Linked DNA regions of Tribolium castaneum. The protein of the gene in region 2 purifies or fractionates together with the protein of the main gene of each other region. This does not show direct contact. Links are inferred from orthologs where the notes say so. Each region holds a gene or a part of one and is shown on either strand. Other genes may lie near its edges.

Region 1 (5,183 bases), about 1.2 Mb from region 2:
TATGCTGAAGGTTTAGTAGATCAAATATATACTTTTGTTCAGTTCAGTTCATTAAAAAAACATTTTCCTATAATAAAACTGCCCACCTCCCATTAGGTAACACCTCTCCATAACGAATAATTAAAGAGTCCCCATGTCCACTGTTGAGAGGTTTTACTGTATTCCTTTACTTTTAACCGCCCTAACTCTGTTAATTTGATTAATAATATCAAAATAGTCGAAAGAACATTTCTTATAAAAAAGCCAAAAAGTGGACTCAATAGAACTTAATTACGAAATTTTAATTCATTCCAAACTATTCTTTTGGCATGTCATTTATTAATTTTTTAATTATTTACCATTTTTAGCTCTCGAAATGTTTTCAAAGGCGGTGACTTCGTTTCATAAGGAAATATGCTTCGATTTTACCTCGAGCGCATTTTGTAAATTGCAGTAACTAATGATTCTTGCACCAAAAACTTATTTGAAGCATAGCTTCATTTTAAAATAAAAAACTTTTTCACATCTCGAAATTTCACCATACAAACATGCAGCGACGTTACAAGAAAATGTAATTTTTTCGGTTTCCCTTTATCAAAATTCATCTTTGTGTAACTACGTAAAAATCTGCATTTATTGTGAAATCTGTTGCAAAAAAAAATAAGCTTCGTGCTTTATCCAGAAGGAAAATACAAGGATATAAACGCAAAAGGTGTCCAGTTTTCGATTTTTGTAAATGTTTCGCTAAAAATTTCTTTTGGTAACAAAAACAATTTTAAATCCAAAAACGACCTTCGGATTCGAATTTAACAGAAGATTTTACATAACAATCAAGCGTTTTTAATAGTTTCTTTAAAATTGTACATTTCAACCCTTTACACTTAATCACCCTCTGTTAATGTGAATAATATCAAAAAAAGACTAGAGGACTTTTTCATGTAAATTGTTTTGCTTAACAATTTTTATTTAAAACTTTTTTTCTAGCTCTTACCGATTTGGAATAATCTTTATAAAACACTTTATTTTCGTTTCTTCAACCCCTCCTCTTTGACTAAACATTTTTAAATACCCCATAGTAACTTATAACAAAAATTCAAGGCTTATGCGACTGGACTGTTTTGTATATTAATGTGTTCGTTTTACCTTTCCCGGCTCGCCGCTGCTGAAAAAAAGATTAGCCAAGAGGGCAACTCTGGTTTCGTTATTAGGGAGAATCTCCTGTATAGGCACTTCCTCATTCGAGGGATTAACTTTAGAAATGCGCGTTTGTTGATCCACCACCCCTTTGGCTATATTCATGTTTAAAATACCCTAAAATCGTGGGATAAATCAAGTTGTTAAAAAGCAAGTCTATTACTTCGCAATTGACCCCTGCGTAGGGGTGAGGACCGGCTCCAGCCCCGATTATAAACGCCGGATCTGAACCAATCATTGTGGCTATTTTTTTCAAATCGTATACTTTTTCCCGCTTCACCAGAGGGAGCAAGTAGGGGACTCCCCCGACTTCGACCAGTTTTGGACTTCCACCAAGTCCTAAAATTTGATTCAATTAAAGTAGAGAGGGGTTTTTGGACCACCTTTTTTGGCCAAAGTAAAAGGTTGTTGTGTCAGGTCGGGACAATCCACGACTTCGACAGTGACGTGTTCAAAATTGCTTTGCAGTCCTTTGTTTAAAACTGTGGACAGGAAATTAGTACTGTTGTTATTAAGGGGGTCAAACAAACCTTTGGCCAGTTCCTCCAAGGGGGGCCTATCTAGAGACTTCTTTTCGATGGATAGGGTGGTGTAATTGACCTCCATGGTTCTGAATGAAAACAAATGTAAATTAATCGCTGGGTAAGGTCAAAACAACGTCCTCACGCTCACCTACTTAACCTTAAACCTAAGTTAATGAGTAAAAATGGATAGAAGGGTTTGAACATAATTTAACACAAACACCCCGTATTGTGATAGTGATTGGTATAATTATTTAATTAAAATTGCGAAAGGACTTACGCTAGTTATAATAATGCCAAAGGTTTTCCCAGTCTCTTAATAATAACTCCAATCAAAAATGATAATTGCAGTCAACTAGAGGTCAGATTGTTTTATCGCACGACCGGAGCGGAGATTAAATTATTACATGCTTGAAAAGTCCTCCTTTATTTGTGTAAGGTCGCCAGATAACGGCTGTTGTTTCGTGGTTATCTAATGACTTTCACATTTTAAAACTCGCGCCGTTTTCGCCCCAATGTTGGTAGCGCCGTTGATCAACAAATCCTCGCGTTCCTATTGGTTGGCAATTTGGAAAAAATGTTTGCCGAAGCTCCATGTTGCTCGCGCTGAAAATCTCAAAGAAATAATCAAAAACTCCAAAATAAAAGTGATAATTATTATCTTGCCTTGAGTAATTAAGAGTTACGTGTTCTGGAAGTGGTGGAAGTGGCGTTAGAGGTAGGTATTTGTGGTTATGTGATTGATTTGTTGTGGATGTAAACAAACACCGGGCGCGTCCTTGGCGATCGATAAAGTTCATTTTGATTTTCTTCCAGTTGTGGAAATGTCACGGTACGGCTCCGATTGTAAAGTTTACGTTGGTGATTTGGGAAATAGCGCCTCCAAGCAAGAGTTGGAGGACGCGTTCAGATATTATGGGCCTTTGAGGAACGTGTGGGTGGCCAGGAATCCGCCGGGGTTCGCATTTGTCGAGTTTGAGGACGCCAGGGATGCAGAAGATGCAATAAGGGGGCTGGGTATGTATTTGCTTTGCGAAATTGGTAAAGGGGTGTTTGAGGTAAATGGGCGTGTAGGCGTCCTCCATGTTGTTAGTGTGGGGAACGCACAACCTGCTCCTATCGATTTTACCCACTCTTCTAGCTTTTTTATAAATTGCATTAAAGGTGAAGGTTTTTGTTCAGTATTTTTATTACTGAATTTTAATTTGGCGATACTGGTAAGCAGGTTAGCCAAAGTAATTGTGCCCAGTTTGACCAACCTAAATTTTTTTAAATCAACCGGAAATGTCAGTGTTAAAATTCCTACAAGCAAATTTACGCAAATTTATGTAATAAAAGAAGATGGTGTTGGTAGTTTTTGATTTATTTGAAACAAATGTAGTTAAATTTGAACAAGAAAAAGGAAAACAGCTTGGAGATGGAAACAAAAACCGGGACAAGTTCAATACCTCTTATAGTTTTTGAAATTTGGGGAAGAAATCTGAAAATATGTACATAGAAGTCTTAAAACGAAATCTGTACCTTAATGAGTTTCATTAAAGTACATACGGGTCACAAACATTTGACGCATTTGGATTTTTCTACACTGTTTTTAGTACTATTACTTTTGCACAAAACAACATTTAAGCATCCTTTCTTTCAAGAATTATAAGAGAAATAATAATGTATACACAGCCGTTAAAAAAATCCGGACACTATTTTTTTAATTTAAAGTAGCTACTTAATTAATTTAATTATTTTTAATTTTTATTTATCAGGTTGTTTTTGGTTTAAATTGTATTTTGTTATTCAAGACTGCTTATCAGATAACAATGTGACTCAGTGGATTGTCATCAACCATCCTTGCTGGACGATTAGCTGCTGACGTTCGTAAAAAGTAAAAGTAAAAATTTCACCTCCAGCTGTTCGGAGGTGACTCAAGGAAGCTAAATGATTTCTAAATGACCAGCAGCAGACCCTAAATTAATGGTAGCCTATCAAAGGTCACAACTTAAATTAGTACACCAGTATGTGAGTTGAGAATGTAAGAACGTACTCTTTACAGATGAGACTAGATTTAGTCCATCACCAGACGGTCTGGAAAACTTGTGGCAAAGTCCGAACAAACCATTCAATCAATACTGCATATCATCCAGAGCTGGATTTAATAAAGCAGTAATATTGCATGATCTGCGCAGGTATATCTTTAGAAACCCATACCGATTTGGTGTTTGTTGAAAACTGGACAATATCACCACATAGGTATATCCTCGAATGTATAGAATCACATGCACCATTCATTGTCGAATTTTTTTTATGGATGATAAGTTTGTTCAAATTCCTCAAGAATAGTTCTCACACCCATCCTAAGCAACCCATATCGTTTAAAAAACGTTATAAGAGCTCTTGGTTGTAACACCCTGTTATTAGTCTTAAATTTGGATTTTTTTTTTGTCTTTTTTTTAATAGCAATATAGGAACTACTCTACTCACTGCTAAGATGTTTCTTGGCAAAACACAATTTAAAAGTTGTGATAATTTTGCATGCACCACAACAGAAATTTTGGAGGTGTCCCGAATTTTTTGAGCGTCAGTGTATATTTATTCAGTCCCTTAACATTAACTAATTGATTTTAGTTAAAAGAAATTGGCAAAATTCTAAAAAAATACACTAGCATGTTTTTATAGCAGACCATAGGAGAGTGCTTTGTTCTCTCGCTTCTTTTATTTCATTCCCTCGGTGTACATTTACCTAATCTATGATTTTTTATTCAATTTGTGTTGCGTGAAGCTAACTTATGCTCATAACAGTGTGCTTACGTGCAACCTGTTTTTATCAGAATCTCTGGATTATATTTTTAGACTCAAGTAGCGATACATTTTCTCAGGTGTTTAATAATAATGCTTTGAAAGGACAGATGTGCGTCAACAATTCCTAAAACTAAAAATTTTAACCATGTTTCAACATGGAAATCTCAATAAGTGACATAAACGAAACAAAAACAAAATTTTTCGTCATGTGCCAATTTTCCAACCAACAATTTCACTTATAAGTAATCTCAAATCAGTAAAAGAGTCTAATGAGCCAAATTTTTGCAGATGGTCGTACCATTTGCGGCCGCAGGGCTCGTGTGGAGATGTCGAACGGGAAGAGCGGAAGCGGCCGTTATAGAGGTCCCCCGCCTCGATCTCGTGGGAGGCCTTTCCATCCCGACGACCGTTGTTACGAATGTGGAGACAGGGGGCATTATGCAAGAGACTGTAATAGATATAGACGTGGTGGAAGGCACAGGTGTGTTATTTGTCTTTGTGGGGGTCGCAGTCCGTTAGTCGTTAAGTCAGTTTAATTTAATTTTGTATTTTTTCTTTTATTGTTAATTTTATTTTTGAATCAATTTGCTGTACAATTGGATCGTGTGATTTATCGGGTTTTGTTTTTGTTATTTTTGTTTTTAATTGGTGGTTTTGGCGGTCCAGTTGTGCAGTAATGGGCGTATAAAAGCGAGCCGC
Region 2 (6,198 bases):
AACCAAAATAAACAAAAACCGCTGTTCTAAATGCACTTTTCTAAATATATTGTGGGTCATGGTCTGATTGGATAAATCGCGTTACAAAATTAATTAAATCACAAAGATCGCGCGCGTTTCTTTGTGTTTCGGATGAGTAAACTTTCTATTTTAACATCATCCGTGAAAATATTTCAGAATTTTCAACTAACGCTCGTAGATTAAAAGAGAAAGTTTCGATAACGGAAAAACAATTTTTAGTTACTTAGTGTAAAAATTGAATTATTGTTTTGGATTGTATGGTTTTTGTGAAAATACATAATTCAGGCGGGTTTATTTACAATGCAGCTGAAAAATTCCACAAACAAGATGTCGAGATAAAAGTTACGTCAAGACAACACAAAGAGGTTTTACGATGTTTACATTCTTACTAGCCCATTTACTGAAATTATTAAATTTGTCGATATTATTTTGCATAAAAATAGACTGAATTATAAATTTACGACGACGTCACCATCCACCTACGTAATACGAGACGAGACGAAAAAATCTGATTTGTCGATAAATTCAAAAAAGAAAATTAAATATTTAAAATGGCGATGCATGTTTAAAATTAGACAGATTCAATTAATTCAATTATTATTAGTTTTTTATTTCTATGGATCGTGAAACATGATCATTGAATGTTGAAAATGCGTCAGCATTGAATCATTGAAGCTTAAATTAATAAATAAAGGTTGTGCTAACACACCTTGTAATTTATTTGTTTACGAATTTTAGAACACCTATATTTGGGCGGAAATGCAATAGTGATGACAAGAACCGAAAAGTGTAACTAGGTCAAGGTCATCTTTTTCAACTATTAATTGTTGACTTAAAAAGTAAAACATACCAAAAATGTCTTCTTGCAAACCAAAATAAAAATATACAATATTTATTCAACATAATAAAATTGTTTTTGATTATCAGTATGTATTATAAACCCTAAGCCATGTCAACTTTTATGCAACGATTCAAGTTAATTTAAATTTAACTAAATTAATTAACTTATAAGGAAATGTAAAGGTAAAGGTGTTTCAAGGCAAAGATTCTTCTTAGTTTTTTTTAAATGTTGTCTAGTAGGTATTTCGTCTTTTGCAATTATTTAAAACCTTCTTCCTAATAAGACAATATTATTACTTAAGTTCTAGCTGTAAAGACAAATTAGTTAGAAAAAAATGGCCATTTTACATTTTTTTGTAATTTTGCAGTAAGCGAAGGGTTACACCGTTGTTTTTACCAACACCATGTATAAATATTTTACCCAAAAAAAATCTATCGTAATATTTCATTTATTTCAACCACTTGCAAGCAATTTAATTATTATCTCTTAAAATCAACTGAAAACTTAATTTAATTTATTTTTTTCAGAATTTTTCTACAATTCCTTAAGCAATTATAGGCCGGTTTATAGAAAACTTCATTAATTTCTAATTCGTTGTTAAAACTTAACAACGCGAATAAACTAATCACAGGCGAATAGACTAATCACATTGGTTCAATTTGGTCACGTGATCTGTTAATCAGTGAAATTAATGACGCTTCTATAAACCGGTCCTAAAATTTATGAATTATTAATTATTATTAACTGTTATTTTTTGTGTCATCTGAAAACAAGCAATACTTAAATGTTGTCCTGTGATAAAAATCCATAAAAAATGTCGCTAGCCCCAAAAATAATAAATAAAGTTATAAATTCAAAATTTAAATAAACGTAATTTTAGGGCTACCAAAATTTATTTTATAAGAATTTTTGCTCGAAAACATTTAGACATCGTTGTTTTAGAATAACACTAAGGGTCGGTTTATAGAAAGCTTTATTAAAATATAATTCTTTGGGCGCATTTACCAGGTTTATAGAAAGCTCAATTAAAGTTAACTGCCTTGTTAAAAGTTAACAACGCGAATGGACCAACCAAATTGCTTTAATTTGGTCATGTGATCAGTTAATCACGCATTTAATTGTGGATTAAAATAATGACGATTCCATAAACCAACCCCATTTTTTTAATTTCATTATATTAATACAAATTTAATAAATTAACTTAACGGTAATTCAAAATTACCGGACAATCTCTCGGGTGCGGATAAAGGACATCAAAGAGAATTAAAAATTCCTATGACAAAAATTGTTTTAGCCTTTTTCCACGAGCTATAACTACTCAAAGTAGAATTTTTCAGTTAAGTTTTTGGTGATTCAGATTACATGTTTTTTGACGTTTTGCGTAAACGACAAAAAAATCAAAAATTAATGTCATATGATGTACAAAACAATTAAAAAACTCGCAAATTCGCTAATAAATAAAATTCGACATCATAGGAAACAAAAGAGCAAAAATCGATACACCTGCTAAAGAAAACAAATTAAAAAATATATAAAAAAATGACTTCTTAGAAAAAATATTTAACTTCATTTTTGTCCTTAATTGAATGTCTTTTATCACCATACGAGAGTTTGTCCGACACTTTTGAATCACCTTGTAAAGAAGAGTAAAAAAATTTGGAAAAATTTCACATACATAGCAAAAAACTTAATAGGCCGGTTTATAGAAAGCTCCCTTAAATTTTAATTCGTTGTTAAAAGTTAACAACGTGAATAGACCAATCATTTGTTCACGTGATCAGTTGATCACGCATTTAATTGCGAATTAGATTATTGACGCTTCTATAAACCGTCACTATGTATTTAACAGTGAATACTGAATGCGGTGCGACCATTAGTTTCTGAGAATAGTGAAACATACTTTTAGCAGACTCACCCCGTATATACTCAACTATTTCTTGGTTTCGGCACGGTTTGAAGCTTGGCTATATTTTCAATATGCAAAATGTCAGTTGTAACAAGATCTAACGTGTTGGCAACGAAGTAATCATATATTATATGCCTGGATTTTTTATCAATGAAATATGTAAAAATAAATAACCCACACGCAATATCAACGATAAAAGATTCTTATTACAAAAAAAGTAACAACAAAACTGCCATTATTCATGCAAACATGCATTTTTGTCAAACAGCCAAATTACAAATTAATTACAAATATCTGGGTGTAATGTAAGTATATTGACAGAAGATAGCGATTAAATTCGACTTAGGTGACTTGATGATAGACATTTTATAAATACTCTGTATTCTTGTACAAGCCGTTGCGTGTATTCTGATTTTTCGGTCGCACTTCGGTTACAGTTGTCTAAGATCAAGGATTTGACTATTTCTAATTTAATCCGTCAACACATTAAATATTTATGACCAATCTAAATGCACCAATAACTGCAATAAATTATTCTTATCGTAATCGGTATAATACACAACACCTCAAATAAATCAGATAATTAATTACCATCGATTAAATTAATTAAACTAAAAATGTGACGTTAAATTCCGGCCGGAGCGTATAATAAACGTCCGGATTCCCGCAATTTGATAACAAACCCGCGAAAGCAGTGTTCAATTAGGAACCTTCCCACTGAGCAAACTCCCGACTAAATAACCCTCTCCGAAGTTCACCTCAGCGGTGGCCCTTCTAAATTTACGAAAATTTCGAAAAAGCCCGGCACCCCAAGTTCCCGCAAAAAATCGGCACTGCGCACGCGCACACCGGAACAAACATGTATGCCACTGCGGAGATCGACGTTGGCTATCGTTTTGGGCGAAAACTCCTCACAGATTACATAAATGTCAAAAAATTTACCTTCAACGTGTCCGGCGTGGCTTCAGCTTTCGTTTGATGCCCTTTGAGGGCCACTTTTCCCTTAGGTTCCGCTGAAAAACGGCCGAAAAAGAGACTTCACTTTGCAACGCACCGTCTGAACGACTACAAATCGTTGTGCTTGTAAACTAGACTCCATTTTAATATCAGTGCCGGAGTTTGCCGAAGCGGAGCCGATGAGGGACGATGGGCGATTTAGCGAGGAGTTGAAAAGTGTTATGTTCCTAATTATGTAATTTTCGGGTAATTGGGGAGGTAACCGAAAGGTATTGCGGATGATTGCGTTTTTTCGACGTTCTAAATTCGCGACCTAATTAACCGGAATTGATTATTTGAAAATGTGTCGATACGGTCCTGGAGTTTTATTGGCGCAAATGATCATAAATTCGAACCACTTATAATTATTGGGAAATAATTAGTTTTTCCTGCTGAAGGAGTGGCTGAATTCACAATTGGAAACATTCTTGAAAAGTTTTGTTTATAGTCTGTTGTAACACCTGCTTCGAATGCACTTCGTAAATATTTTTGGACAATATATTTGTATTTTATTTTTGGATGACGTGCCAAAATTGCTTGTCTTCCGTTGTACAAAGTGTGTTATTTATTAGTCATATTTATAGGATCTCGATGTGATGTTTACCTTATTACTCCAATGCGAAAATAGATATTTAAGTTTGAATGCAGCTTTATAGTTTATGAAACCATCTTCTGTATCTTTTCGATCGGACTTTTTATGCTTTATCTAGTAGTAATTTTTATTTGCAAAATTATGACATGTTAAAGGTGAAAATGGCAAATAGTCTTAAAAAATTTGGTTTGTATCTTTAGGTATACTAGAAACATAAATAATTGTCGACCTTGAAATAAATTTTTATCAGGTTATTAGTTTTTAGACGTTTTACGAGCGGTAACTGGACAACTGGCGAAATATCTATAACCACAAAGTCAGTTTTTCTTTTCATAATTTTATCTCTTTCAAGAAATATACAGGCTGCTCCAAAACTGGTGCACCAGCTCACTGGTAAAATGTTGGAAAGCATGTGTAGATCATATGAAAAATCTTGAAAAAATTCCTAGTCATATTCAAAAAAATATGAAGCTACAAACTTAGTTTACTGACTTCTTCAGTTTTCATTATTTTTTAATGTTTCTATGTTTCACACTAAGTAATCGTTCCCCAACGTAATGAATAATTATTTTAAAAATTACTATCTGACTTTAGCAGTTCCTTGGATTTAAAAAAATAAAATTTATCCAAAAATCACAATTTGTAGATGTGCCAACATTGGGATTTCCTATGAAACCACTTCAAAAGTTATTCATTTTTATTGTTGATCGGGATCTATTGCGATCTCGATTGTTAGACAACGTTGCCACAATCATTTCTTTAAAGTTTGTTATTTACCAATTAAAAAAAAATATTTTTACCTTTTTATGAAAGCATTTCTCTACCGCGTAGCATTGAGTTGGTGCGGCTGTTGTTGAGCACCCGGTACAAGGTGTTAAAATAATAATGTAAGATATTTAAGGAGGTGATATGGTATGGACTAAACTAAACAAAAAGGTCTTTTCTAATAGAACATACACTTTTGACAGCTTTTTCAAGGGTGCACAAAATGCTGCTTGGCAATGTTTCATAAATTGTTTCAAAAGGTGTTCAAATACTTTCAAAATTTGGAACATGTTTTTAAGAACAAAATCTTATCTTTGAATCAGACGAGTGGTTTGGTTAATATTTTGTCTAGCCACCTATTTTTCAGAATTGAATAATCTAATAGTAATTGTAATACAAAAAACGTGTGTTAAAGTGTCATTTTTTATCTTGAGGTAATTTTTTACTCATAGTTGAAAGATCACTTTAAAAATACCCATGTGCATTTTACATTTATTAACAATGCGTTGACAAATAAGTAAGATATTACGCTCGAAATTTTTAGATAAAACACTCTGTATACGTGTATCACATTTTTGCCTATTTCTCATTTTCCTATTTTTTATGCTTTTCTTTCAACAAATACGTTTTTCAACTAAAACATAAAAAAACAACGTTGAATTTGCTTTCTACCTTGATTTTTAACCTTTTTTATAACTCAGATTTTCCTAAAAAAAGACATGAAATTTTATAAAAAATGAGTCGATTTTCAAGTTTTAGAGGTTCAGTTGTTGAGTTTGAAAAAAAGAAAAAATGACCTCTTTTTATATATTATTTTATTTATATATTAATTATTTATTATTATTATACAGAGTGGCCCGAAACTCACTCCCCACCACAAAAGTGCATATAGTTTAGGCAATTCTGAATCGAAAGTTTTTTTACAAAAAAGTTCTGACTCTTTGCAAGACCCTATATACTTTTATTTTGCATTTTTGTCATCTCTATTACTGTTACCACCAGCACATTTCCGGTGGGAAATGTGTTGTGGGCCTCGCTGTATAATTTAATTAATTATTATTTATTAATTTTATTTTA
Region 3 (5,365 bases), on a different chromosome or scaffold from region 2:
TGATTATCGGGGGAGATGTCAACTGACATGATTTTACCGTCGTGACCTGACAGGGTCTTCAACGGTTGCCAGGTCCGATTTGTCCACAATTTCGCCGTGTTATCGTACGATGAAGTAATTAGGTAATCGCCGCCGTCCCTTTGAAACTTCACCTCCGAAATTAAATTCGTATGAGCTGGGATTGTGTACAAGACGGAACGTTTGCGCAAATCCCAAATTTTGCAAGTGTTGTCTTCGCTAGACGTGGCAATGTGGTAGCCATCAGGGGAAAAATCTATCCCTAGAACCGCCTTTAAGTGACTCTCCATGAACATGATGCATCTTCCGGTCCTCAAGTCCCACACACGTCCAAATGAGTCTAAACCACTGTTGGGAAATTAATTATTTGTCACAATTTACCAAAAGTATTTACCCTGTGGCACAGACCGATCCATCAATCTGGAAGGAAATACAATAGACAGGTTTGACGTGTCCTTCCTGGTGTAAAACTTCGGTGCATTGCTGCAAATCCCACAATCTCCAGGAACAGTCAAAGCAACAAGTCCCGAGAAACCTTCCAGAGGGATGAAAGCCCAACCGGGAGACACGATGTGGCATATGGCCCTCGATATCAGCGATCGGTTCCTCGCTTTGAAAATCCCACAATTTTACTGAACCATCGGCTGCACACGATGCCATATTGCAAATATTTTCCTCCTGGCTGATTGTTGCTCTAGGGTGGAAAATAATAGCACTGGCATTACAGGCGTGACCTTTCAGGGTCTGTTTGAGTGTGCAGTCGGGCACTGACCACACTTTACACAACCCGCTCCTTGAATCAAACAAATAATTTCATTTCACTTATTAAATGATAATTACCATCCAGCTGTGGCTAAAAGTTTCGAATCTGGACTAAACTGGCAATAGGCAATAGGTCTCGAATCGCCAATCTGACTCGAATAAATCGACATAATCTGGAGTTTTTTCTGTATTTCCTGCTTCTTGGCTGTTCTAGTAGCCGTTGATAAATCCTTCGCTTTTCTGGCTTCCTCAAGCCGGGCTTTGGCCCGCGGCAGTGAATAGTGCGCTATCCATAATCTGGCTATTCGCAAACTTTCGGGGCCTTCATGATACCACGTTGTTTCGAGATCTTTTTCGAAATTTTTACGTTCTTCTTCGGCTTCGCGTCGAATGACTGCGTCTTCACCGATACGACTTAGTATTTCACGGAGGCGTGAACGCCGATCTGCCGGTCCTTCCCCGAATAGACAGATCGGTTCTCCCAATTGGCGAAGGTTTCGTTTCACTTCGGCGTCATCGGTGGAGACGTTAATAGAGCGCGCTTTACGACGACGCTCGAATTCCTCCAAGAGGGCTTGCTTGTCGCGGGACATGGCGTCCTCAAGCTCCATGTATTCTGAATAAATTAAACGTAACAGTATTTATTAGATTCAAGTGAAAGATTTTAACATAAAAACAGGCACCTAAGCACGCATTTTTAATAATTGTGTGATAATTGCTGTTATATAAACATTTTTTTTATTTACCATTCGTAGGTACACCTACAAACTGTTCTTTTTAAAAAGCAAAAATTATATAAAGCTGGGGCCTATGGCACAACTTTTTTCAATTTAATATTATTGTGCATTTATGGCATTAAAGGAGTTCTAATACGAATTATTTATTTAATAGCGCAATAAAGCATTTGATTTAATAACACCGCGGCTGTCAGTTTCAAAGCCAAAGTGCAAGTTAATCGCTGTATTAAACCTGATTTTTTCCTGAATCACTCAGGTTTTATATTTTTTTAAAAATCTGTAATCATATTATTTCGCATGACAAAGCAACTCGAGTCAATATGTGAACCTAGTTATTGACTGGGCCGTTAATAAGCCACTCTTGAGCGCTTCAAATGTCACTAAATGTCGACTGGCAAAAAATTTATCACAAGAATTTGGAGAAAATATTGGCTACAATGTTGAGACTTTAACCTTCTGCTTACCAGCTTTTTTTGAGATAAATTACGATGAAATTCATTTAAACGATCAGTTACAACGATAAATTTTACTCTTAATACTCTCATGTAATAAAGATACCAGGGTAAATTACTCGGTTTTTTATTTTTGAAAAAATAGTAGTTCATAAAGGAGTTTTAGCAAAATCAGTGGCAAAACTGTTAAGATAAAGTTAACAATATACTCAAAAAATGGAATACAACTGGACAGGTGGAATTAGTTTTACTGGTTGCATCAGATTTCAGAACTAACTCATGACTGACTCACCCTGTATAAATAAATAAATAATAAGATTTTAAGTATTCTAATAAAAAACTTTGATTCCATGACTCAAAATTTGGTTTTACAGAAATTACAAAAAACAGAACCTGGGTTTTGAGCCACGAGGCTCCATTAAGGAATAAGAAATATATAATGTACCACTTGTACTAGATTTTTCGTGAATATTTTAGCGCTACATTAAACTGATGTTGACTTGAGCTTTAGCTCATTTGTGTGCGAGGTTTTGGCATTTGGACGAAATTACGGATGCCAAAGTAATACCTGTGGAAATGTGAACCTGTGGCGGGTTCGCCGACGTGCTTTCGGCCTTTTCATTGCTATCATCGTTCCCATCGCCGGCTGCTAACCTAGCTCTTTCCGCTTCCTCCAACGAGCCGTAGTGAATATTTTTGGTTTTTTTCACGTAAGGCGCGTCCTCATCGTCGGACATGGTGCTAAAAATTGAGCAAAAATGAGTATTTGTGCAAGTTAATTCGTAAAAAACGTTTGTTTACATGTTATCACTGCTATCGGTTCAAAACGTAACGTCAAGTTGACATTTGTCGCAAAAAAAGTAACCAAAACCGCCTGGTGAGTTCAGTGTAGCCAACGGCAAGTTTTTACGATTTCTTCCACAAAAGAAATATTTCTGTTTTCTTTACATAGCGTTTTGCTATCTCTGTCTAAATTTTTTTCCAAAAAATTCCATGAGAGAGAGAGATTATCAAGTTCGGTCCGGAAATCTTAGTAAATGTACGATGTTGTGCCGCGGAAACCGCCTAAATAGCCGTGCAATGTCCGTGCTGGTGTTTTGTGTGCGAAAATCGTGAAAGAATCGGTGAATTTGTGCGAAATCGGCGCGACGACCGATCGTTGAACTTGAACAGTTGATAGATTTTCTCTTTCTTTCCCAGGCTCTGAAAAATCTCAAGTTTATAAAAATAAATATGAAAGGCCTAATTACAGTACAGTCCGAGTCTGTGTCGGTTTAATTTTTGACCCCGTTTTGGATCTGCGTTAGTCGAGTTTGGTGCCGTTAGTTAGGCTGAAAAGCCGTTGCTCTCGACAAATATTTGTGTGTGACGAAAAACCTCGACAATTCCCAAGATTTTTTACGCGAGAATTTTTTAAGACGTGCGGTATTGATTTGCCTTAAAGGCTTGGCCCGGCGAATATACGGACTATACATGGTTTATAGGGGTCTTACGTGGTTTCTATTGGCTCACTGACTCATAAAAAACTAAGGGACACATTTTTTGTCGGAATTTTCCAAATGACTGAACATTTACATACGCGTCTCCAAATTTTTGAGAAATCCTCGGCCGGACTTTGTATTGTTAAACCTCGCAAAAACAGTCGACTTGCGGATGCGTTGTGCCGTGCCAGTGAAGTGGTGGTGATTTAAAAAACAAACGCTCGCCCAAAGGCCCCAAAACCGACGAGTATTGATTATTTCGAAGGTCTCACGCTGGTGACTCATTACTTTTTGGTAAATTCGTCATCTCCAACGCGAACAGTCGGAAGGAAGCTGGACGAACATAACCAAAAATGCTGCCTCAACAGTATTGTCTAAGATGGAGGTACCACCATTCGAACTTGCAGACCATGTTCTCGCAGCTCCTCGAGAAGGAGGCCTTCTGCGACGTCACCTTGGCCTGCGAGGGGCGCACCATCAAGGCCCACAAGATCGTCCTCTCCGCCTGCAGCACCTACTTCGAAACCATCCTGTCCCAGTACGAAGAAAAAGACCCCATCCTCATCATGAAAGATGTCAAATATGTAGATATTAAGTGCTTGGTCGAGTTCATGTACAAAGGAGAGATCAACGTCGACCACGTAAGCCCCCTTTAAAAAAAGCAAAACCCTTCAATTTTTCATGACCCCATGAGAAACTCCACTTGGCCCGCAAACTGCCAACAATCGATTCTCCTCGCAACGTCAATAAAACCCTAGAGTTCCTTTATTGGGAGAGTTGGGACACTGAACGTCAAACCGAGCCAATTTTGTATTATGTGGATAGGGTATATATTTCTATCCTTTTTTATTAAAATTTTTGTTAGTAACTTATGTCAAAGGTTTATGTCGAAAATAATTTCAAGGTTATAATTTTTGTCAAATGCATAAAATGACATAATTTTACGTCAAATTTAACCAGGGACGTAGGAAACGTAGATATTACCTACCAATATTAACGTTCACATTTCTGAAATTTTTCAATATTTATTTTAATATTAAATACATAACTTAAAACATACTTCAATGCTAAAAATGCTTTTCTTTCAGTCACAATTTTTAGTAAAACATCTCTTCCCAAAAATTGGTCATCAAAAACCCTTCATATTCCCTGTCGTCTTTTTAAATTTTCTAAAAAATGATATTGAAGGTGTTCTCGTATGAAAAACGTAACAAAATCGTGAATTCCCAATAACTTTACAATTTGAAACAGAATCTAAAGTTCACGTAGATGCTAAAAGCGGCCAAGCAGCGACAGGTTCAACTTTCCTAAAAATTAGAACCAATTTTGGGTTCAAGTACCTACGTATTTTGTAAATACATAGACAAATTCCCAAAATCTCATAGATTTTGTACATAACATTATTTAGACGCTCAACTTTTCCAAAAGCTTGTTAATAAAAATGTAAAACTTGGCTGGAAAGGTTCAATTTCTCTCTCTTTCATCGATGATTACCATTTCTTAAAGTTAAGGAAAAAATGTTTATGATGAAGAGTTTAGACGTAAAATTCTTGTACTTACAAAGAAATCTCTTTTAAAATGTGGAGTTCATATAAAAAAAACAGTGAATTGACGACGACTGCCAGTCTAAACCATTTCTAAACGCAGTTAGTCGACGAAAAATGGAAACATTTTTTGACAAATTTATTTGACTTTTCGCCAAATTTCAAGTGTAACACCACTGATTTCTATCCCAATTTGTTTTTTTTACACATTCCAACCGACGTATATAAAACAAAATTTCGAAAATTGACATTCAGTGTCCCAACTCTCCCAATATAGGAACTCTATAAAACCCCAAACGCCCCATAATTATTACAAAAAAAGCAATTAAAGCACCAACAAGCCCAATTAAACAACAACCAAATCAACAAAC
Region 4 (5,288 bases), about 1.2 Mb from region 2:
GATATTACTATTTCCCGTTACTCTGTCGCCTCTAGCTAAGTCTTTAGTTGATTTTTAAACTCTTGGGAAAATCAAGTTTTTTCCGGTGAATTCGCATTCTTTGTATTAGTTTTGGAATAAGATAAAGTATGATTTTTAAGAAATTTAAACTATATCGAACTTTGTTACTACATTTTTTCCATAGTTTATTTAACTATAAGTAGGTTATAAAATAACTGATTTTGGTAAGAGGTATCCTTTCTTGGGCAAAACTTTTAACTAGATTTTAAATGATTATTAAAAAGGTCTTACTTGGTCTCACAATTTAGTGAAATTAAAAAAAAACTATTAGCTGTATTGACATCCATTACCTGGTACAATTTTAAGCTGGAGGTAGTAGGTAGTAATAATGCTTTTGACTTTTTGGAAAATTTTATTATTTCGTCAGTTATCAGAGAATTTGTTAATATTTTGTGGAATTGCATAATAATAATAATGGCCTTCAACACTACTTGAACTAATGTTTTAAGTCGTGATTGTTGTCAATTTGTTCATTAACTGCGGCCAATGTTTTTATTTATATTTTTTCCTTTTTATTAAATATTCATAAGAAATGTGTATAATTTATGGATATTTTCACGCCCACGCTATATTTTATACCGTAATTCGCTTTTGTTTTTGCATTGTTGATTAAGTTTTTCTCAGATTTTATGAGCTTATTCAGAGATGATCTTACAGTTTTATTTAAATAGCAGGTTAGTTTTTAGAAAGTAACCTTTTCCAAAGTTTTGTTTCGAAACATATTGTTTGTATTGGTATTGGTATTTTGTTCATTTACTCAGGGCCGCCACGAGAAGTGCTATTTTATTTGTTATCTGTTCATAAAAGGTATATATTAGCTATTTCAAAATTATAAAAACGCCAACGTCGCATTTTCTCTCAAAATTATAACTAATGTAATTTATACTTTCAATGAGAGATCGAATCGTTAATAACTATTTTACATTTCTATACTTATTCAAATTAAGAAGTAATAGAGATTTGTGGTGATTGTGATTAACTGATTACTGACTAGGTTCAATAAATAAAGGAACAAATATTTATTTATTAGAAGAATTTTAAGTTTGACATAAAATGTATGTATTAAAATGACATAATAAACATTTTCGTATATCCCAAAACCTGAAGAGTTTTTTAAAAAACTGTACTTTTTTAACCCAAATTTACAAATTGTGTAACTATACTGTAACTTTATATTCAAACAAATTAATACTGTGTGATTTTCTAAAATATTGGTCTAGTTATCCGTGACAGTTACGTTAACCCGATCTCCATTACGGAAATAAGATTCCAACATATTTTTTTTGGTTCTTCGGTGAACATTTTAGACATATTGACAAATAAAGCGATGCTAAAGTTATTTATGCAAAATGTTTCATTGATGACGTATCTGTCATGGATAACTAGATCAGAATTTTAAAAAGTCGGTTGGTAGTTTATTATAATAAGATAACAGATAAATTGCTTCGATTTGAAGCATTGAACTATCGTAGATGCCAAATAATTTTTAATTTTAAAAATGATCGCTTCCCTGTTGAATAGAAAACGGGTAATGAATAGGAATTAAATTATTTATTAAAAGATTTTCTAATATATTTTGTGGGTTTTTGCAATTATTTTCTAAAAAATGAATCTTAAAGCGTTAATTCCGTTAAATAAATCGGAAACCATTTTTAAGCTTTACGTGTAAGTCTTTACAATTTTTTGCTGTCTAAATCTTCTTAAAAAATTGAAGTTATTCACAAATACAAATGCATCGTTTTTAAAAAGAAGACACAACTTGATCCAAAATTTAATAAGAAAGTAAATTTTTTAAATATTTCTGTCATCTACCACAACTTCGTTAAGATGAATATAAGGTGTTCGTTTGTAGTCAAAAAGTTTTATTTCTTTTCTTCGGCATACAGTTTTATTCAATCCGGTTTTATTAAAATTAGTTGGTGCTTTGGCGTCCTCTGACTCCTTTTTATTTTTATTTGTATGCTTTTTTCCATTTATTTTTGTTTATTTTTAAAAACAACTATCTTAATATTCTAATTTAAAATGGTATTTAAAAGAGCTTTTGGCGAAGCAAGTTTGCTCTTATGTTCTTATAGTTATAGTTTTTACCAAAAAGTTGACTAAAATAAAAAAAAAGTTTTTTTTATTTAAATAACATGGCTTGAAACTACAATAACAACTGTTTTTTTAGTGATATATGTGTCCGGAAAAGTACTCTTTCACGGACTATATTCCGTCCCTTCACTAATTAATAATTATATTGTTTTTTTTCATTATCCCCAAATTAATAAGCAGATTATTATAGACAACCAGTAATTCAGCCCCACATTACAAGTAATCTATGGACACTTGTCAATTTGTAAACTGCATTTTTCTAACCTCACTTCCAAGTGTTGTGTGAACGTTTTGGAGTTACGTTTTTAACTCGCTAAAATGTCTTTGGCCGACGAATTATTGGCTGATTTGGAAGAAAACGATCAAGATGATTTGGAAGAAGCGATGGAAGTTGATGAAAAACCGGACATCAAAGAAGAAAAACCCGACGTTAAAGACATCCAGTTAGAGGTAGACACAACTCAAATAACTTCAGTCCGAGAGTTGTGTAAATTACGGGACTCGCCCCATTTACATGAAATATTGAAACAAATCGAAGACCATGTGAAGAAGAGCCGAAAATACCACGACATCATAGGACCAGTTGAGTTGGACCCTGAGTATCAACTGATCGTCGAAGCTAACAACATTGCTGCAGATATAGACGCGGAAATTGGTAAGAGTTACGATTTTAACCAAATCAGTTGAAACTAATCTGTTTTATTGAAGCCACTGTCCATAAATTTGTGCGCGACAAGTACCAGAAGCGGTTCCCCGAGTTGGACTCCCTTGTTGTTGGTCCTTTGGAGTACTTGAAGACCGTCAAAGAGCTCGGGAATGACTTAGACCAAGCCAAAAATAATGAAATTTTGCAACAATTCCTAACGCAGGCAACTATCATGGTTGTCTCAGTCACGGCATCCACGACACAGGGGATTCTCCTAACGGACGTCGAAAAGAAACAAATCGACGAAGCTTGCGACATGGCCATAGACTTGAACAACTTCAAACTGAAAATTTACGAATACGTTGAGAGTCGGATGGCTTTCATCGCCCCCAACTTGTCGGCGATTCTTGGGGCTTCGATCGCCGCCAAGCTCATGGGGGTTGCCGGGGGTTTGACCCGATTGTCCAAAATTCCGGCCTGTAACGTGCAATTGTTGGGCCAACAGAAGAAGGCATTGTCTGGATTTTCACAAGTGAATATGTTGCCGCACACTGGTTTCGTTTATTACGCAGATATCGTGCAAAATACTCCGCCTGATTTGAGAAGGAAGGCTGCCAGACTTGTTGCCACTAAATGCACGCTAGCAGCACGTGTGGACTCGTGTCATGAGAGTAAAGACGGACGTATTGGGCGGCAATTACGCGACGAAATTGAACGAAAACTGGACAAGTTGTTGGAACCACCCCCAGTTAAGTTTATCAAGCCGCTGCCGAAACCTATCGACCAGTCCAAGAAGAAAAGGGGCGGGAAAAGAGTCCGCAAAATGAAAGAGAGATATGCGATGACTGAGTTCAGGAAACATGCCAATAGAATGAACTTCGCTGATGTAAGTTTGGTTTTTCTTGTATTAAATTTTTCTAGTATTGAAAATATTTCTTACATTGAAAATTACACAATATTGTTAGCCAATCTACTGTTGAAGCAGCATTATAGTTTCATTAGATTTTGATAACATACTAGAGATCACAATCTTCTTTGCAAAAAGTTTTCTATGGGTTTGATGAAAATGCAGTTTTATTATTCTCTTGATACTTACAAGACCGGTATCAATAAGTTGTAACGAATAAGCGAAACACATAACTTCAGGTGTACCCCAGTGCTCAGTTTTGGGCCCAATCCTTTTTTTAATTGGGGTGTTCGATGTTTTAACGAAATAACTCCAGTTTTAGTCTTTTTGAGAAAAATATAGAAACGTATGCTATAAAATTTTCTCTTTCAAATGCAATAACTGGTTTTGTAATCGATTGATTTATTTTAATGTCATTAAACAGTAACAGTTGTTATAACACCGAAAATTTGTGGACATTTATTCAGTGCAATAATGAGATAAGTCCATCAATCGTTTTTTTACTAGTCTAGTGATTATTGTTAAATATAATGTATTAAAGCTTCCGTATTATAACTTATGTCAAAATAAGTTTAAAAAAAATAGAGACAAAAATGCAGTAGTAACATTGAATTGAGTTAAATTTTCACGGGTTTTTAAAAACCAAACGGCTTTCAATTTGAAAAAAAAGCGGTTTCGTCTGTAATTCTGTACTGCATTCCTCCTCTTCGCGTTTTATACTAATTTTTATTTATTTATTTTTCAAACAAAATCGATTACCATGATACTGAATGGAATCAAATAAACAATGATCTAAAAAGAATAGCCAAACATTGCAGTAATGTTAACTTAAAACTCAATGAAAATAAATATTCAGTCTTATACTTTGCATCTAAAAGTTGTAAATATTTTGAAGAATAATATATTAATATTTATATTATTAGTAATAAATTAAACGTTCTTGCAAAAAGAAAATCTCTAGGACTTACATTGACAGTGGAAAACACATTATTCATTATCAAAAAATGGTTCATCTCCTTGAAACTCTTACGTTCTAATTATCACATTCAGATTTCAAATTGAGAAATAAACTTATTGAAACTTTGGTAATTCTCCTTTATCTATTATTGCTTTATAATCTTATCCTTGTTTAAATGATGTTGATAGTTGAAAATAGATTATACAAAATTCAAAATATAATGTTATATATACAAAATTCAAAATATAATGTTATATTTTGAATTTTGTATCTTTGGCTTAAAAAAAATGTGATTACATTTCTAAGGTCGAGTTGTATCATCTTTAGTCCTGATTTAAATCCCTAACAATTATTCTCATAACAATGGCTATGGGTTTAATCCTGAAATTTTTTATACAACTCGACCTAAGTGTGTTTCTGACTTAATGTTGGAACTTCGGGATAAGATACTTGAGACTTCTAATAAAAGTATATTTAATATGAAAGTAAATCGAAATACAAAATGACGGAATTGATAAAAATATACACGGCACACTCTTATAAACAAAACTGTGGTTCACACGGAAACGAAACGCGACTCGTGAAACTTAGATGTCCAACACTTCCCCTCGAGTCGTGTGTCG

The links. Proteins that work in one complex are often made in the same cells at the same time.
Region 1: the proteins of 7SK snRNA methylphosphate capping enzyme bin3 (region 2) and serine/arginine-rich splicing factor 7 purify together in Homo sapiens (affinity purification with mass spectrometry; 3 studies listed by BioGRID and IntAct, with this or other methods). This does not show direct contact. The link is inferred for Tribolium castaneum from reciprocal best matches to the Homo sapiens genes MEPCE and SRSF3.
Region 3: the proteins of 7SK snRNA methylphosphate capping enzyme bin3 (region 2) and U4-U6-60K purify together in Homo sapiens (affinity purification with mass spectrometry; 4 studies listed by BioGRID and IntAct, with this or other methods). This does not show direct contact. The link is inferred for Tribolium castaneum from reciprocal best matches to the Homo sapiens genes MEPCE and PRPF4.
Region 4: the proteins of 7SK snRNA methylphosphate capping enzyme bin3 (region 2) and Prp31 purify together in Homo sapiens (affinity purification with mass spectrometry; 3 studies listed by BioGRID and IntAct, counting the BioPlex papers as one, with this or other methods). This does not show direct contact. The link is inferred for Tribolium castaneum from reciprocal best matches to the Homo sapiens genes MEPCE and PRPF31.

The regions. Positions count from the first base shown.
Region 1 is NC_087395.1:18,120,908-18,126,090, forward strand, and holds the start of serine/arginine-rich splicing factor 7, read left to right. Parts: upstream 1-2,272; 5' UTR 2,273-2,412; intron 2,413-2,510; 5' UTR 2,511-2,518; coding exon 2,519-2,711; intron 2,712-4,772; coding exon 4,773-4,965; intron 4,966-5,183. Other genes in the region: ester hydrolase C11orf54 homolog, read right to left, coding at 1,123-1,290, 1,337-1,512, 1,557-1,655, 1,704-1,783, 1,846-1,901. UniProt on the Homo sapiens protein: Splicing factor, which binds the consensus motif 5'-C[ACU][AU]C[ACU][AC]C-3' within pre-mRNA and promotes specific exons inclusion during alternative splicing.
Region 2 is NC_087395.1:19,350,048-19,356,245, forward strand, and holds the start of 7SK snRNA methylphosphate capping enzyme bin3, read right to left. Parts: upstream 3,866-6,198; 5' UTR 3,711-3,865; intron 1-3,710. UniProt on the Homo sapiens protein: S-adenosyl-L-methionine-dependent methyltransferase that adds a methylphosphate cap at the 5'-end of 7SK snRNA (7SK RNA), leading to stabilize it.
Region 3 is NC_087397.1:1,344,166-1,349,530, reverse strand, and holds the start of U4-U6-60K (U4/U6 small nuclear ribonucleoprotein Prp4), read right to left. Parts: upstream 2,912-5,365; 5' UTR 2,771-2,911; intron 2,711-2,770; 5' UTR 2,707-2,710; coding exon 2,538-2,706; intron 1,397-2,537; coding exon 859-1,396; intron 812-858; coding exon 413-811; intron 367-412; coding exon 1-366. Other genes in the region: zinc finger protein 131, read left to right, coding at 3,804-4,091. UniProt on the Homo sapiens protein: Plays a role in pre-mRNA splicing as component of the U4/U6-U5 tri-snRNP complex that is involved in spliceosome assembly, and as component of the precatalytic spliceosome (spliceosome B complex).
Region 4 is NC_087395.1:18,106,417-18,111,704, forward strand, and holds the start of Prp31 (U4/U6 small nuclear ribonucleoprotein Prp31), read left to right. Parts: upstream 1-2,377; 5' UTR 2,378-2,472; coding exon 2,473-2,809; intron 2,810-2,862; coding exon 2,863-3,686; intron 3,687-5,288. UniProt on the Homo sapiens protein: Involved in pre-mRNA splicing as component of the spliceosome. Required for the assembly of the U4/U5/U6 tri-snRNP complex, one of the building blocks of the spliceosome.